Linked DNA regions of Oryctolagus cuniculus. Each later gene encodes a partner of the first gene's protein in a complex. Links are inferred from orthologs where the notes say so. Each region holds a gene or a part of one and is shown in the gene's direction. Other genes may lie near its edges.

Region 1 (4,167 bases):
TAGCTGTTTTTCCCCCTAAACCTCCTTCCCACCCGCAAACCATCCCAGCTCCTACTCCCTCTCCCATCCCCTTCTTCATTAAGATTCATTTTTAATTATCTTTATATACAGATCAACTTAGTATATACTAGGTAAAGATTTCAACAGATTGCACCCACACAGACATACAAAGTGTAAAGTACTGTTTGAGTAGTAGTTTTACTGTTAATTCTCATAGTACAACACATTAAGGACAGAGCTCCTACATGGGGAGTAAGTGCACAGTGACTCCTGTTGTTGATTCAACAATTGACTCTCTTGTTTATGGCATCAGTAATCACCTGAGGGTTTTGTCACTGGCCTTATTTATGTGATCCCTTTGACACTTAATCCTATATGATCAATTATGAATTTAAACTGATCACTTTAACTAGTAAGATGGCATTGGTACACGTCACCTTGATGGGATTTGGAGTCCCATGGCACGTTTCTAGCTCTACCATTAGGGATAAGTCCGAGTGAGCATGTGCTGAACTGTACATCTCCTCCCTCTCTTATTCCCACTCTTATATTTAACAGGGATCACTTTTCAGTTAATTTTACACGCCTAAAGCAATTGTGTGTTAATTAAAGAGTCCAACCAATGGTATTAAATAGAAAAAGAAAATACTGCAAATAAAATAGTAATGCTTAAGTATTTTAAAGAGAGAAAAAAGCATCCTTGGCGACTAAACTTAAAGCCTGATAAATGTCTAGCTCCTGGTAAAGACCTAAAAAACAGGCAGCATTGTGACTGCCACGTGGGTGCTGGTTCCAGTCCTGAGGGCTCCATTTCCAATCTGGATCCCAGCTGGTGGCCTGGAAAAGCAGAAGATGGCCCAAGTGTTCGGGCCCCTGCACCTGCGTGGGAGACTCAGCTGAAGCCCCTGGCTCTGGCCTGGGCCATTTCTGGCCTTTGCGGCCATCTGGGTAGAGAACCAGCTGATGGAAGACCTCTCTCTCTCTCTCTCTCTCTCTCTCTCTCTCTCTCTCTCTATCTCTGTAACTCTTTCAAAATAAATAAGTAGATCTTAAAAAACAAAACAAACCCTAAAAACCTTTGAGAGGTAAATCCAGGGCTCCTATCGGCGGCTTCTGGCTGCGAGACTCTGGAAGAAGCTTGAGGCCCGCTGAGCGCCCCCAGCCGGAGGCCTCTGAGGACGGGACTCCCAGCCCACACCTCCGGGCGCCCAATCCTGGAGGCGAAGGCTGACTCCCAGCGCCCAGCGGCGCCCGGCGCCTCCCTCCTCGCGCCTCCCTCCCGGCGCTTCCTCGTGCCGCCCACACTGAGCCGGGGCTTTCTTGCCGCCTAGCAACCACCGGCGCAGGGGCGGAGCGTCACGGAGGGCGGGGCTTGCGTCCGCCCGCCGTCCGGGGCGCTACGCGCTGCCGCTCAGTGACGTCGCTTCCAGTCCAGGGTGGTTGAGCTAAACTTTCGCCTCATCGAGTTGACTATACGTTCGTCACCCGCGCCGCGGCACGCCTGCGGTTGGGTGAAACAAGGCCCTATCGGGCCTCCGTAGTCGGCTTTTTGTGGTAGGCGGGGCCGAGGCCGGGGTGACCCTGCCGGAACCGCCGCTGCCAGCAACATGTTCAAGGTGAGAGCATGGAGTCGGGTCACAGTTGTCATCGCCCCCTCCCGGCCACCGGGAGCCCTCCCCGCGCTCTCGTGGGCCTTTCCGGGGACCGGGCACGGTCCGCCCCAAGGCTTTTCCCGCCTGCAGGCAGGCTGCGTTCCGGCCCCGCGGTCCATTCACTGGTCATCTTGGGGCGAGTGGCTGCCGGGCGGAGGCGTGAGACTCGGGGGCGGGTCGCGACGGCCCTTTTGGGTCGTGCTTCCGTGAATAAAACACTTTGAAAAGTTACGACACTCTCCGCAAAGCACCCACCCCTTCGGCTGGTGCCTTCTCGGGATCGTGGGCAGGGTGAGGCTAGTTCCTGGCGACGTGGGGTTTGCTACTCTGGTTGCCGGGCAGCATCAGATTTCAAGAACCTGGTATGTGGGTGGGGGAGGGTCGCCCTCGGAGTGGCCGCTGCAGGAAGCGGGAGGCTAGTGTGGGAATGGCTGGCTGGGGAGGGAAGCTCCACATCCCAGTGACCATTATCCGTGTTTAAATGGACGTGTTGACTTTCTTAGGATCTATGTGCTTGTGGCCTTTAATAAAAGGACTTTTACAGACAATGAAGACTTTATTTCCAAAAATCCGTATTGTAGCATTAAGCCATTTTTTAAAAATTATTTTTGCAGTCACAAAAAACAAGTCATAGGCTATCAGAAATTAATCTACGAAACTGAGCGTTCAAGAGGCATCATACCCGTAAAGTAGTGCTAATGACATCTTAGAACTGTGCTGCTCGCTTAAGCTTTATTGAGCTCTTGTATGCTTTCAGCACATTAATAAAGACCATAAAATCAGAACATCGGTTCTGCCTGCTAGCCTTGGCCTTGGCCCGTCCTGCTGTGTGACCTTGGACAAGGCATTTAACCTCTCTGCCTGTTTTCCTGTTGGTGACAATCGGGATGATAGCATCTGCCTCATAGGTAGTCGTAGGAGGAAGTAGTTGTGCGTAAGACGCTTGAGAGAGGTCTTGGCATGTAGACATGCCTCTGGTTTGTTTTCGGCGAGCTCACGGTTTAGTCAGCAGGACGAATCCCATAAGCAACTTCCATTCATTTGACAAGTTGAGGTTAAACACCTATTATGTGCTAGCAGCTCAGCTTGGCTTTAGGCTTACGATGAAGCCTATGCTGTGACCAGTTCAGCTGCATGGGTACCAGCTATATACTGTGGTCGTAAAAAAGGGGAGCAGGATCTTTTTGGCTTAGCCAGGAGTTTCTAACCTGGGGTCCTCAGTCCTTCAAAGGGTCTGTATATAGGGGGGCCCCTGGATTCTGATGGGGGAAAAACTTATTTTCACCCCATCTTCAATGAAACCAAGTGTTTCCTTCAGTTGTGAATACCTATTACCTATTACTGGGTAACAAACCACTGCAAAGCAGTACCCTAAAACAATGATTTATTATTTCTCAGTCTGGGCTGGTTGAGCAGTTCTGGCATCTTCCAGGGGCTGAATTGAGCAGGGGGCTTGACTGGAAGGTACTCTCTCTCCCGTGTTTGGAGGCTTGGTGTCCCTCCCTTGTGTCTTCCTCATATGGTTACGGGCCAGTCCTAATGTACAAACACCTGCATCATTTGCTGATGTTAAAACAAGCTGCATAGCCAAGTTCAGAGTTGATACGGTAGTGGACTGTACAAGGGCATGGTTAAAAGCAGGTGTGGCTCATTGGGGGCTTATTAATTTAACAAGCCTTACAGCAGCAAACCACAATAGTATTAGTGCCTGTTACTAACAGAGGTCACAGTACTCAGGCCCGCATTTTGGCGCAGTGGGTTAAGTTGCTACCTGTGACACCAGCAAGTGCTGGCTCGAGTCCAAGCTGCTCCACTTCTGAACCAGCTCTCTGCTAATGTGTTGTGGCCTGGCTCAGCTCAGGCTGTTGAAGCCATATGGGGAGTGAACCAGCAGATAAGACAGTCTGTCTCTGTTTCTCTTAAACTCTGCCTTTGAAGTAAATATTTTTTAAAAAGTCACAATACCAGTGCAAGTCAGAGACATTTTTATATCATATTACTGTTGTTGCAGATCTCAAAATATCATTTATGCTCATCACTACAAAATTAGAGTGCTTGTAAGATTCACTGTTAACATCTTTTTAATGAGTTAGTGAAGTACATATTACTACATCAAAAAAATTTTTTTAGAGATATATTTACTTCGTTGAAAGAGTTACAGAGAGAAGGAGAGAGAGAGAGAGAGAGAGAGAGAGATCGATCTTCCATCTGCTAGTTCACTCCCTAAGTGGCTGCAGTGGCCAGTGTGGAGCCTGGCCGAAGCCAGGAGCTTTATCTCGGTCTCCCGTGTGGGTGCACAGGCCCAAGCATTTGGGGCATCTGCAGCTTTCCAAGGTCATTAGCAGGGAGCTGGATCAGAAGTGGAGCAGCCGGTACACAAACCAGTGCCCAAAGGGGATGCCGGTGTTGCATGTGGTGGGTTTAGCTGCTGTGCCACAATGCTGGCCTTGTACACCAGAAATTCGAATTTTGAAAATATGTTTATTTGTAAAGGGGAGGCAGAGAATGAATGTGA
Region 2 (3,560 bases), on another chromosome or scaffold:
TGCTTTATCTCACCACGCTGATGTATTTTACAAGAATTCAGATTTGTCTTTGTACCTTAATAATGTTTGAATGTAATTGTTGCTTCCTTATTTTTTGCCCTAAAATCTAAAGCCATTTCTTTACATAGAAAACTTTGTATTTTGAGATACTTCTAGATTGACATAAGAAGTAATAGAGAAGCTATGTACTCCAAAACACTAGCTATTTGAGTGCTTATGCTTATTAACTTACATTGAGTGCTTCAAAGAATAAAATAATATTCACTTCTAAGCATAATACTGGGGATCAATACATTTCTTTACATTAAATTCAGTAGTTCAGGATATGTATCTCTATACAAAGTAATTTAAAGAGTAAAACAGGGGCCCGTGTTGTGGCAAACAGGTTACGCTGCCACCAGTAATGCTGGCATTGCATTTGGCCTACAGGTACTGGTTTGAGTCCTGGCTGCTCCACTTCTTCTTCTTCTTCTTCTTCTTTTTTTTTTTTTTTTTTTTTTTTTTAATAAGATTTATTTATTTATTTGAAGACAGAGTTACAGAGAGGCAGAGAGAGAGAGAGGTCTTCCATCTGCTGGCTCACTACCTAGATGGCCGCAATGGCTGGAACTGTGCTGATACAAAACCAGGAGCCAGAAGCTTCCTTCGGGTCTCCCATGCAGTTGCAGGGCCCCAAGCACTTGGGCCATCTTCCACTGCTTTCCCAGACCATAGCAGAGAGCTGGATCAGAAGTGGAACAGGGGGGTCTCGAACATATGGGATGCTGGCACTGCCAGCGACAACTTCAGCTACTATGCCATAGCGCTGGCCCCTGCTCTACTTCTGATCCAGCTCCCAACTGATGCACCTGGGGAACAGTGGAAGCAGACCCAAGTGCTTGGGCCCCTACACCCACATGGAAGACCTGGAAGAAGCTCTGGACTCCTGGCATTGGCCTGGTACAGTGGCACACTACTATAGAATTCAACCTAAAGACATTCTTTACATCCCATATCACTTTGTATTCTGGAAGAAACCAGCGTTCTTCATCTCCTCAAAACTTTTCATGGAATCAGCATTTCTGTAGAAATCTGCATGTGCCTTCTTTCCTGGTTCCACCACAGCAGACTTGCACAGAGCTGCAGTGCTCGAGGAGATGTGCAGCAACTCCTGTGGTCGTCCTGTTGGGGTGATTTCAAACTCGGGTATTGAAACAATTCAGTTATTTTTTTCTAAGTCAATTATTCTTTGGTGATTTAGTATATACCTGTTCATCTCCAGGGTCCATAAGGTAATTTTGCTTCATACCCACATGTAATATATCCAGTTTATATGCACTTGGAAAAAGAAAAAGGAGACGAAAGATAATTTTCAATAGTTCATTTAAAATAATTTTAAATAGTTTAGACAATTCCCAATATTCTGATCAATGTTTATATGGTGCAAAATGAGGAGAGGACAAGGTGTTGTGACTTGTCTGCCATCTCATCCTGGAGTAGCCAGGACTTAAACCGGTGCCCATATGGGATGCTGGCACTGCAGTTGACAGCTTTACCTGCTACGCCACAGTGCCAGCCCCAAGTAAGTGCTCTTTTTAAACATGTATGCTTTGTACTTGTCCTTAAACTGAAGTTTTGGTAGCCAGACCTGCAATTCAGAAAATTTTAGGCAGCAACACTACATCAGAGAATGACTTAATCAACAGGTGATTCACTTAAAGCTATTATTTTTTTAAAGATTTATTTATTTAGTTGAACAGCAGAGATATAGAAAGGCAGAGAGAGAGAGAGGTGTCTTCCATCCCCTGGTTCACTCCCCAGATAGCTGCAGCAGCCAGAGCTGTGTGGATCCAAAGCCAGGATCCAGGAGCTTCTTCTGGATCTCCTACGTAGGTGCAAGGGCCCAAGTCTTCTACTGCTTTCCCAGGCCATAGCAGAGAGCTGGATTGAAGTTGGACAAGCGGAGATTCGAACCGGTGCCCATTTGGGATGCTGGCATGCTGTAGGGGGTGGCTTTACCCACTACGCCATAGTGCCAGCCCCCTCTATTATTATAAACCTTGTCTGGTTGATATTTTCTTTTGAGAATCTAATAAAACTCCTTGGAAAATAGTTGACTGGAACACTAATTTTTTTATTTGAGAGGCAGAGTTAGAGAGAAGGAGACATAGAGAAAGAGAGAGATCTTTCATCTGCTGGTGCACCCCTCCAAATGGTCAACTGGCCCAGGCTGAAACCGGGAGTGTCCTCTTAGTCTTCCACGTGGGTGGCGGGGACCCCAGGACTCCAGCCATCTTCCTCTGCTTTCCCAGGCACATTAGCGGGAAGCTGATTGGAAGTGGAGCGGCCAGGAACCAAACCAGTGCCCATATTGAATATGGCGTCGCAGACAGCAACTTAACCCACTACACCAGAGCCCCTTCCTCCTAACCTCCCTCCCCCTTTTTTTTCTTATTTAGGATTTTGTGGAAGGACAGTTGATGGGAAGTGATTCATGAACATCTTTGTGCCTGTGACTGCTAGATTGAGTTCCTATTCTGGAGAGATACTATCTAAGTTTTCTCTTTTGAATTTAATGTCTTGTATTTTGTGCTTAATCTTGTTGGCCTATCTGATGACAGTATTAGCAGTTGTTCACGTTTACTTAATTCGCATTTTGTGTTTAGATTGCAGGTGAGAAGAAGTCTGCCCAGTGGCGTACAGTGGAGGGAGCATTGAAGGAACGCAGAAAGGCAGTAGATGAAGCTGCTGATGCCCTTCTCAAAGCCAAGTAATTACTCATGGACTTTAACAAGTAATTAGGGCCTCTGGTGGCTCTCTGGGCTGGGTTTTCCTTGGATTATCTGGGGAAGATACTGTAAGAGGAGGCAGAGACCCTTTCCTCCTGCACCTGTGCTGCTTCTGAACTGGTACCAGGAAACAGGAAAACAATGAGGTGAAAATAAATTTGACAGAAACTTACATAAATGATCTTATATAAACGTCAGTTTTGCTTTGGATTATTGTTGAGGTGGTGAGATTCCTGAGAGTTTCATAATTTCTGTTTTGCTGGGCTGGTTTAAACAGTTCTGTCAGAATTTGGAAAATATGTCATGATCTCTTTGCCCTAATTACCTAAGAATTGACTATATATTGTCTTTTGCCACTTTAACCTTGATTCCTAGAAGTTAACTGAAACTAGGATCAAGTGAAAAACCCAAGTATAAGACCAACCTCTGATGATGGAGGGCTGCATTTGGACTAAAGGTTCTCATCAACAGTGTGTAGTAGTTATTTTTTATTTAAAATTTTGCTGTTTTATTTATTTTTGATAGAGCCTTCTAATGAAGCACACGCCTTTTAGATTATGCCCACATCACTAGACAGTGTATCAGGGCTCTGAGTTCTGTGTTTTGTGGTGGCTGGGCCACAGTCTGACCTTTGAAGCATTCTAAATTGTCATTCTAAATTGACGTATTTGCTCAGTGAGGTAGGTCTCTGGCCATCTCCCTGGCCTTTGCGTTCCTTCAGTTCTTTGTGATTGACAGGGACATCAGCCTAATCCCTGCCAGTCATTAAGTGTTCACTGTGTGCCATGCACT
Region 3 (3,992 bases), on another chromosome or scaffold:
CCACACCTGCCGCTGCCCGGCAAGATCACCTGGTCTTCCCCCCAACCCCGCGAGAAATCCTGACTTCATCCGGGGCAGGTGCAGCCCGGCCTCCGCCCCCTGGTCTGCTCTCCATTCCAGCCCCCTGCTAACACACACCCTCGGAGCCACCCACCCGCCTGGGAGCCCCCGGAGTGGGCTCCTTCTGCCTGGCCCAGCCTTTATGGTGGGGCCGTCTGGGGAGTGAGCCAGGGGCTGAGAGCAACCTCTTCCCAGCTCCGCACCCCGCCCTGTCCTTCAAGCTTTCAAATGCATTGTATAAATAAATTAAATAACACACACACCCCTTGTGAAAAAAGAAAGGGAGAAACAGCCCAGGTTCATAGGGGAGTCTGTCCTGCGCAGGCACCGGCCCATCACGCCTGGGTGGGTCGGGGTCTGTCTAAAGAAGCCACGGGCAGACAGGAGCTCAAAGATGCCCAAGGCAGAGGCGGCCCAGGGGGCGCAGGGCAGATGGGGGGGATCCCTCAAGTCTCCAATCTCCAGATCCAGGCCCGAGTCCTGAGACCCCGCTCAGCGGCTGACCCCAACCCGCCTCTCCCAGGCCCCAGCGTGCCCCAAGTACACGGTGCGGGGGCCCAGGTGCTGGCCTCGCCTCCTCCCACGCTGTCGCCCACCACGCACGGCCTCCGGGTCTCAGCAACGCCCCTACAGGAACCCCCGACCCTCTTCTCCCGCGCAGACTCCGGACCCCGCCTCCTGCTGGACCTGGGGCGGGGGCGCCAATGGCCTGGCCCCGCCCACCTGTCGCTGCACCTGTCCGCTCTCAGTGGCAGCTTCCGGTCAGGCCGACCCCTTCCCAGGCCCAGGTCAGCGCACGAAGCCCCTCGGCAGGGGCCTCTTCCCAGCCCCCGCCCCGCCCGCAGCAGCCAGGCAGAGTGGACGATGTGAGATGGACAGAGATGGGCGGACCGACAGTGGCCAGCGGGGATGAGGGAGGAGTGGGGGGCCGGAGCTTTCCCCCTGGACAATGGGGACCCACCGCGCGCCCCCAGCTGCGCACTCACCCACTCGGGCCTGTTTGCCCCAGTGTCCGGCGAGGCTGGGGTCCTGGCCTGGGAGTCACGCCAACGCCCTGAGGGTCTCCCTTCCCAGCCCAGTGCGGCCGGGCCCCCGACCGCGCCCCCTCCCGTAGGGCCCGAGTCACGTGACGCCAAACCCACCTCCTCGGGGGGAGGGGCCGGGCCGCCAGGACTCCGCGCCCCCCGTTGCCTGGCAACGGCCTCCGCCCGCCCAACTCCCGGCCACCCGCGCCGTGGCCCCGCCCCCGGGGCGGAAGTTCCGAACGGCGCGCGATCACGTGACCGAGGGCCCGCCTCTCGCCCACAATCCCGCCCTGGCGTTGCCGGGACAACCACCTTCTCGGCGCGGGCTCCCTAGGTCGAAGGCTTTTGTCTCCCGCGCGGGCGCGGCTGACTTCGCCTCTGACCCCTTCTTGGTCACCCTTAGGCTTCACTCCAGACCCCCTACGTCTCTTTCCACGCACGGACGCCGGGGTAGGACCAAACTACATTTCCCAGGAGGCTTCGCGGCCCAGCGAGTTCACGGGGCGGTACTGACTACACTTCCCAGACGGCCTTGCGGCTCCCGGGTCGCCCACACAGCTTACATTTCCCAGAAGCCTCTCTGCCCGTAGGACCCTCGCTAGTCCTTCTCCCGAGTCTCAGAGGCTTTAGCGGGACTTCGACTCCCGGAGGCCTTTGCGGCTGACAGGAAAGACTACAGGTCCCGGCGTCCTCTGCGCACCGCGAGCGGAAGCGGCGGGCAGTGTGGTGTCCTTGCGCGGAGCCGAGCGACCATGGTGGCCCGAGTGTGGTCGCTGATGAGGTTCGTGGGGCGGCCGGGCGGGGTCCCGAACCCCCGAGAGAGTCCCCGTCAGGACCCCCACCCCGCCTGTCCGGTTGGCTCGCGGTGGTCTGCTCCCCGCTCAGATAGGAGCGCAGACTGGTCGGAAGCCACCGGGGGTCGCGGTCGCCCCTTCCCGCCGCCTGTGTGCCGTGAGGCCGGGGCGGGGAGTCCCGCATTGGGGTCCCCCGGGAGGCCAGGGTGCCCACTGCCCCTGCCCTGTACCGTGGGGCCGGCGCGGGGAGTCCCGCATTGGCGTCCCCCGGGAGACCAGGGTGCCCGCTGCCCCTGCCCTGTGCCGTGGGGCCGGCGCGGGGAGTCCCGCATTGGCGTCCCCCGGGAGGCCAGGGTGCCCACTGCCCCTGCCCTGTGCCGTGGGTTCGGGGGCAGGGAGTCCCGCATTGGCGTCCCCCGGGAGACCAGGGTGCCCGCTGCCCCTGCCCTGTGCCGTGGGGCCGGCGCGGGGAGTCCCGCATTGGCGCCCTCCGGGAGGCCAGGGTGCGCGCTGCCCCTGCCCTGTGCCGTGGGGCCGGCGCGGGGAGTCCCGCATTGGCGTCCCCCGGGAGACCAGGGTGCCCGCTGCCCCTGCCCTGTGCCGTGGGGCCGGCGCGGGGAGTCCCGCATTGGCGCCCCCCGGGAGGCCAGGGTGCGCGCTGCCCCTGCCCTGTGCCGTGGGGTCGGGGTCGGGGAGTCCCGCATTGGCGTCCCGGGAGGCCAGGGTGTGCACTGCCCCTGCCCTGTGCCGTCGGCCGGCGCGGGGAGCCCCGCATTGGCGCCCCCCGGGAGGCCAGGGTGCGCGCTGCCCCTGCCCTGTGCCGTGGGGCCGGCGCGGGGAGTCCCGCATTGGCGTCCCCCGGGAGGCCAGGGTGCGCGCTGCCCCTGCCCTGTGCCCTCCCTGAGCGCCCACCTCCCGCGCCGCAGGTTCCTCCTGAAGGGCAGCGTGGCCGGGGGCGCCGTCTACCTGGTGTATGACCAGGACCTGCTGGGGCCCAGCGACAGGGGCGAGGCGGCGCTGCGCAAGGCCGAGGAGGTGGTGCCGCCGGCCGTGTACCAGCTCAGCCAGTACGTGTGCCAGCAGACGGGCCTGCAGGTGCCCCAGGTACTCGGCCGCGCGCCCTCTCCGGCTCAGGCCGTGCGCGGGGCTGGGGCGCCCTCCCCCCCACCCCGACCCCGCTCACCGGCCCGTGCCCCTCCCCCTCCCCGCAGCTCCCGGCTCCTCCCAAGATCAGCTTCCCCATCCGAGAGACCTGGGATAAAGGTAGGTGCGCGCCCCGCCCCTGGGGACCACCCCTCTTCCTGCGCTGTGTGTCTCCCGTGGATCTCGAGGCGAGGGGGGGAGGGGCGGCTGGGCCGTGCCTCAGTTTCCCCGCTGGTCTCCAAAGCCCGGTGCCCGGCCCCGCCTCCCCCGCAGGCATCCTCACGGTGATGGCGGCTCTGTCTGCGGCCCCGGCCAAGGCCCGCGAGTACTCCAGGGAAGGCTGGGCGTACGTGCGGGAGCGCACCAAGCAGTGAGCGGCCCGGCCGGCCCAATAAAGGCCTCTGCACTTGCCCCTGACCCGCTGCTGGCCCGGGCGCCGCGGGGGGGGGGGGGGGGGGCTGGGAGCCCGCCTGGGGCCGGCCCTGCGCCGGTGGGTGGGGCCAGGGTGGGCTCGGCTCTCGGAGGCGGGGGGCGTGCCAAGGCCCTCCTGCCCTACCAGGGCGGGCAGTGTCCCTTCTGGCGGCCCTGGGGGTCCGCAGCACCCCTCGCCACGCAGCTCTGTGACCATGGAGGTCTCTCGTGGGGTGTGGCAGCTGGCGGCTGCGGGGGGAGGGGCTGCACCCGAGGCCATCAGCCCCTCCATGGGGACAGGGGAGGGGTGGGCCCAGAGGCCCGCACTAGGCGCTAGGCAGGGCGGCCGAGTGGCCACGTGGCCGGGACCGCTGGCGGCCGTGAGCTCGGGGGGCTGAGCCGGCGCTGGGGGGCACCGCGGCTGCCCCTGGGGGGTCGTGGTCACTGCACCTGCCTGCGGGCCTGGCGCAGCCCCCGGCGATTTACCCCGAGTGACCCCTCACCGCAGGATGTGGTGGGTGAGCCCCGGGGAATCCTGGGACACACCCCCGGGGGCCAG
Region 4 (4,121 bases), on another chromosome or scaffold:
GATAAATTATTATTGTTGATGTCTGACACACAAGGTGTCATGGCCTGCTGTTGATAATGTTGAAAGCGGCCACCTGAAGGTAGTGCATATTTTCATTACTTTTGTAAGGACAAGGGTCATGGGGCCAGCACTGTGCCACACCAGGTGCTAGTTTGAGTCCTGGCTGGTCCACTTCCAAACAGCTCCCTGCTGATGGGCCTGGGAAAGCAGCAGAAGGTGACCCAAGTCCTTGGGCCCCTGCACCCACATGGGAGACCTGGAAGAAGCTCCTGGCTCCTGGCTTTGGTCTGGCTGAGCCCTGGCCATTGCAGCCATCTGGGGAGTGAACTAGCACATGGAAGACATTTCTCTCTCTCTCTCTCTCTCGTTCTCACTCTCGCTCTCTCCCTCTACCTCTTTGTAATTCTTGCCTTTCAAATAAATAAATAAATAAATCTTAAAAAAAGAACTAGGGTCGTATGGCTAATGTGGAGCAAAGTGTTAAGCAAAAAAATTGTAAGGATGTAGGTGGAACTTGAAAATTGTTTACTGGTCTTGTAGAAATGAAATACTCTAGTGAACCAGAAACTTTCCAAGATGGATTCTCTCAACTTTGCCTGCTGTGGTTTCCATAGTCCCACTAACTTATACTATTCTTCTCTTCGTAACTGTGTTATGGTCCAAGGTATATAACAGAAGTGGAAGGAGACACAAACTTGGAAACCGAATTCCGTATACGGAGTATAATGTACTTTTCGTGTTTTCTCATTTGTAGATTTTATAACGACAGCATTTAAGTTTTCACTTTACAAGAAGAAATCAAACATCTACATAGTTTATGAAATGGGGATACAGGAAAATGCATTTTTTTTAATGACTCAGACTAAAATAATGAGCTGCTAACTTCTACTTCAGGGATTTGTATTTACAGGAAGCTGTGCATCTCCCCCATGAACCTGAGATCCGTTAAGAACGAGCTTGCGTCTTTGACCTCACTCTGCTGAGTTTTCAGGATAACGTCTTCAAAGCATGCTTGAGCGATGATTGCACTTCTTCCAAGCTGCCCAGAGAGCAACCCCTTCTGGAGGGAAAGACTACAACTCCCAGCATGCCTTGCGTCCTCCGGGACGAGGCAAGAGAGTCCCACCACCCCTCGTGCCCGATAGGGACTACAATTCCCACTTCACCCGGGAGCTCCGGAAACTTGTCAAACAGCACCTGTTGCCATAGCATCCGGGTCCAGGCCAGCCAATTCCAGCACCCTCCGCCGAGTGGAGGCGGGCCCTTCGCGGCTCTGACCAATCGGAGGTGTAGCTGTTTCGGCACGTGACCGGAGGAGGCGGGAACTCAGACCGGCGCCTTCTCCTTGCTCCTTGGGGTCGTGGCCTTGCTCCCGTGCAGCCCGGGAAGGGTCCCGGCACGTTGGCGCGCGTGTGCGCGGAGTTGTGAAGCGCTCGTGGTCCGTGCTGGATCCGTGCAGGAGCGGGGTCAGGAGCCATGGGCGGGACCGCCAGCACCCGCCGGGTCACCTTCGAGGCGGACGAGAATGAGAACATCACCGTGGTGAAGGGCATCCGGGTGAGTTCCGGCGGGCGGGCGGCCCACGGCTCGGACCCCTGCCCTGCGTTTCCTGGACCCGCTCTGCTGCCCGCTGCTCGGACCCCCAGCCAGGCCTTCCCTGCACCTCACCGGCCCGAAGCCGGCCTTGGGGAGGATGCGGGAGTTTGACTTCTCCGGGCGTTCGTGCAGAGGCCCTGGGCCGGGTGAGGGGTGCAGTGCGGGGCGGCCGCGGCGCGCCGGGTGCCCCGAGACCCTCCGCTGGCCTTGCCCTGCTCGGCGGTCTCGGGGGCTTCCTCGCTGCCCCTCGCCGCCCTGGCCCCGTCTGTGCAGCGGGTCCGGTGTCACTCCCCTTGGCTCGGGGCCCGCAGCCCGCTTTCCCGCGGGCACAGGCTCCCTCCCCGGGTGCGCTGCCGCCGCCGGCTCGCCTGCCTCGGCTTCCAGTCCTTCCTTGAGCGCGCTCCCACCGGGGCCACCCCTTGCCCTGGCTCGCGCCTCCGCCGCCCCCGCCGCTTCCCGTTCTCTCGGTCTCTGCGCTTTCCCGGGCGCTGCCTCTGTGACCTGTGGCTCCCGGGACTGGTGCCTGCCGGCCGGGCCCGGGCTGGGATAGGCCTGCGAGGTTTCAGAGCTCTGAGAGGTGATAGCGAGTTCTCTTACGCCCTCTCCACGTACTTGGCGCCTGAACTCAAACTTGACTTTGCTCCAGGGAGTCAGCACACCAGCACTCACTTCACTTAACACGCTCTCCGCTGCAAGGACCAGCCTGCATCCGGGAAATAAAGCCATGTGGACTTCAGGGTGTCTTAAGATACTTTGTATTTTCCCTCCCCTGCTGTCCTGTCACACAACCAGTCTCAATGAATGTATTTACTGTTGTGTTACCGGGAAATAAAACTTACTAAATACGCACAGTGTTGAACTCTTTTTGGTCTGTGACCAAGGTTTCTTGATTCATTAACAACAGTGCTGCATTTTGCGATATAGCATCTGAGGCTGCATTCTTGTGTTCTTGGTGGTTTAGTTGCTCCTCCTTGGAGTACAATAAAAAGGACTGGAAACTCTGAGTTTTATGCAGAGATTTAAAAAAAAAATCTTGCCTTTAGGCTGTGGGTGTTCCACCTCTGAGGGTGAAAGAGGAAAGGCAGCACAAGATAAGTTTTAGGTGAGAAGATTTTAGTTAGGAAAATGTGTGTCACTCTAACACAGACACAGGGGGACAGCAGACAGAACTGGCGGCGAGTCTGGCCACAGCTCAGAGATGCCTAGCGAGTATGAAGATGGAGGAAGGTGGCAGTGGGGATGTGTGTTCTCCTGAAATGGAAAGGTGCTCTAAAAATCTGCGTTTCAGAACTTGAAGAAGTATCTTTCTTGGATAGAAAACTTGACGAGTGCATTCTTCAGTTTTTTCTTTTTCCTTCTCCGATATTACGTCTTATGTTTGCTCCTTCAATTCGAGCTCACGCCATGCTCCTTGCAACCTCTCTGTGTTTTTTTCATAGCACGCCCTTCACCTAGATGCCCTTACACTGTTTGCTGTGGCGTCAAGTGCTTCTGCTGCAGGGCGGGTTGGCGGTCTCTGCACTTCGGTTTCCTTATCTGTAAGAGGATGGGGCAGGATCTCAGATCTCTGGTCGTCTGAAATTCTGTGACCCTCGTGCCACTGTCTGTGTCCTGTGGCCTTCCTCAGCGCCGTGCAGTTTCCTCTGGAAATGACACGCGGTGGAATCATTGAGTACTGAGAGGTCACTCTGATTGCTTTGAAGTTATTGTCAGAAGGGTGCCAACGTACAGTTAAACAGCCCTCAGTTTAAATCTTGGGTCAGCTATTTATTAGCCCGTGACCTTGGACAAGGCACGTGTCTGATCATATTTGCTGTCCATAAAGGGGAACACGGTTGCTTCTGTCTTGTGCTGGAAAGATGAGGTACGTTCTTTGCTTCTGGCCCTCTGTAGGTTTTATTAAAGGCTGCCATCGGCCAGCACTGAAGCTCACTGGGCTAATCCCCTGCCTGTGGCCCCAGCACCCTGGGTTCTAGTCCCGTTCGGGGCGCCAGATTCTGTCCTGGTTGCCCCTCTTCCAGTCCAGCTCTCTGCTGTGGCCCAGGAGTGCAGTGGAGGATGGCCCAAGTGCTTGGGTCCTGCACCCCATGGGAGACCAGGAGAAGCACCTGGCTCCTGGCTTCGGATGGGCAGGCCATAGCAGCCATTTGGGGCGGCGAACCAACGGAAAGGAAGACCTTTCTCTCTGTCTCTCCCTCTCACACTGTCTAAATCTGCCTGTCCAAAAAACAAAACAAAACAAAAAATACAAAAAGGCAGCCATCATTTCACAGGGATTCTGTATTATAGTGGAAAGAGAATACCGTGAAGGAAAGCAGACTTGAGCTTGGATCCTAGCTCCGCCTCTCAGAAGCTGGGTGGCTCTGGACAAGGCACTTTTGATTGTAAATCTAGATTTTGGCACTTGTCTGAGGATTTGACGTCATGTATGTGAGCATCTGACAGTGCCTTGTGGCTGTCAGGAGAACCGTTGAGGGAATGGCTACATTAACTCATGCAAACTTAGGTAAGACATGTACGCACGA

Evidence for each region.
Region 2: APOO (region 1) and IMMT share a complex: the UniProt entries of both Homo sapiens proteins name them as parts of the mitochondrial contact site and cristae organizing system (MICOS) complex. The link is inferred for Oryctolagus cuniculus from reciprocal best matches to the Homo sapiens genes APOO and IMMT.
Region 3: APOO (region 1) and MICOS13 share a complex: the UniProt entries of both Homo sapiens proteins name them as parts of the mitochondrial contact site and cristae organizing system (MICOS) complex. The link is inferred for Oryctolagus cuniculus from reciprocal best matches to the Homo sapiens genes APOO and MICOS13.
Region 4: APOO (region 1) and CHCHD3 share a complex: the UniProt entries of both Homo sapiens proteins name them as parts of the mitochondrial contact site and cristae organizing system (MICOS) complex. The link is inferred for Oryctolagus cuniculus from reciprocal best matches to the Homo sapiens genes APOO and CHCHD3.

What each region holds. Positions count from the first base shown.
Region 1 is NC_091453.1:10,138,574-10,142,740, reverse strand, and holds the start of APOO (MICOS complex subunit MIC26), read left to right. Parts: upstream 1-1,355; 5' UTR 1,356-1,607; coding exon 1,608-1,616; intron 1,617-1,679; exon of another isoform or gene 1,680-2,014; intron 2,015-4,167. UniProt on the Homo sapiens protein: Component of the MICOS complex, a large protein complex of the mitochondrial inner membrane that plays crucial roles in the maintenance of crista junctions, inner membrane architecture, and formation of contact sites to the outer membrane.
Region 2 is NC_091433.1:116,590,298-116,593,857, forward strand, and holds part of IMMT (MICOS complex subunit MIC60), read left to right. Parts: intron 1-2,645; coding exon 2,646-2,749; intron 2,750-3,560. UniProt on the Homo sapiens protein: Component of the MICOS complex, a large protein complex of the mitochondrial inner membrane that plays crucial roles in the maintenance of crista junctions, inner membrane architecture, and formation of contact sites to the outer membrane.
Region 3 is NC_091447.1:60,302,252-60,306,243, reverse strand, and holds MICOS13 (MICOS complex subunit MIC13), read left to right. Parts: upstream 1-1,386; 5' UTR 1,387-1,837; coding exon 1,838-1,866; intron 1,867-2,805; coding exon 2,806-2,983; intron 2,984-3,090; coding exon 3,091-3,142; intron 3,143-3,295; coding exon 3,296-3,396; 3' UTR 3,397-3,432; downstream 3,433-3,992. UniProt on the Homo sapiens protein: Component of the MICOS complex, a large protein complex of the mitochondrial inner membrane that plays crucial roles in the maintenance of crista junctions, inner membrane architecture, and formation of contact sites to the outer membrane.
Region 4 is NC_091434.1:168,944,165-168,948,285, reverse strand, and holds the start of CHCHD3 (MICOS complex subunit MIC19), read left to right. Parts: upstream 1-1,305; 5' UTR 1,306-1,476; coding exon 1,477-1,557; intron 1,558-4,121. UniProt on the Homo sapiens protein: Component of the MICOS complex, a large protein complex of the mitochondrial inner membrane that plays crucial roles in the maintenance of crista junctions, inner membrane architecture, and formation of contact sites to the outer membrane.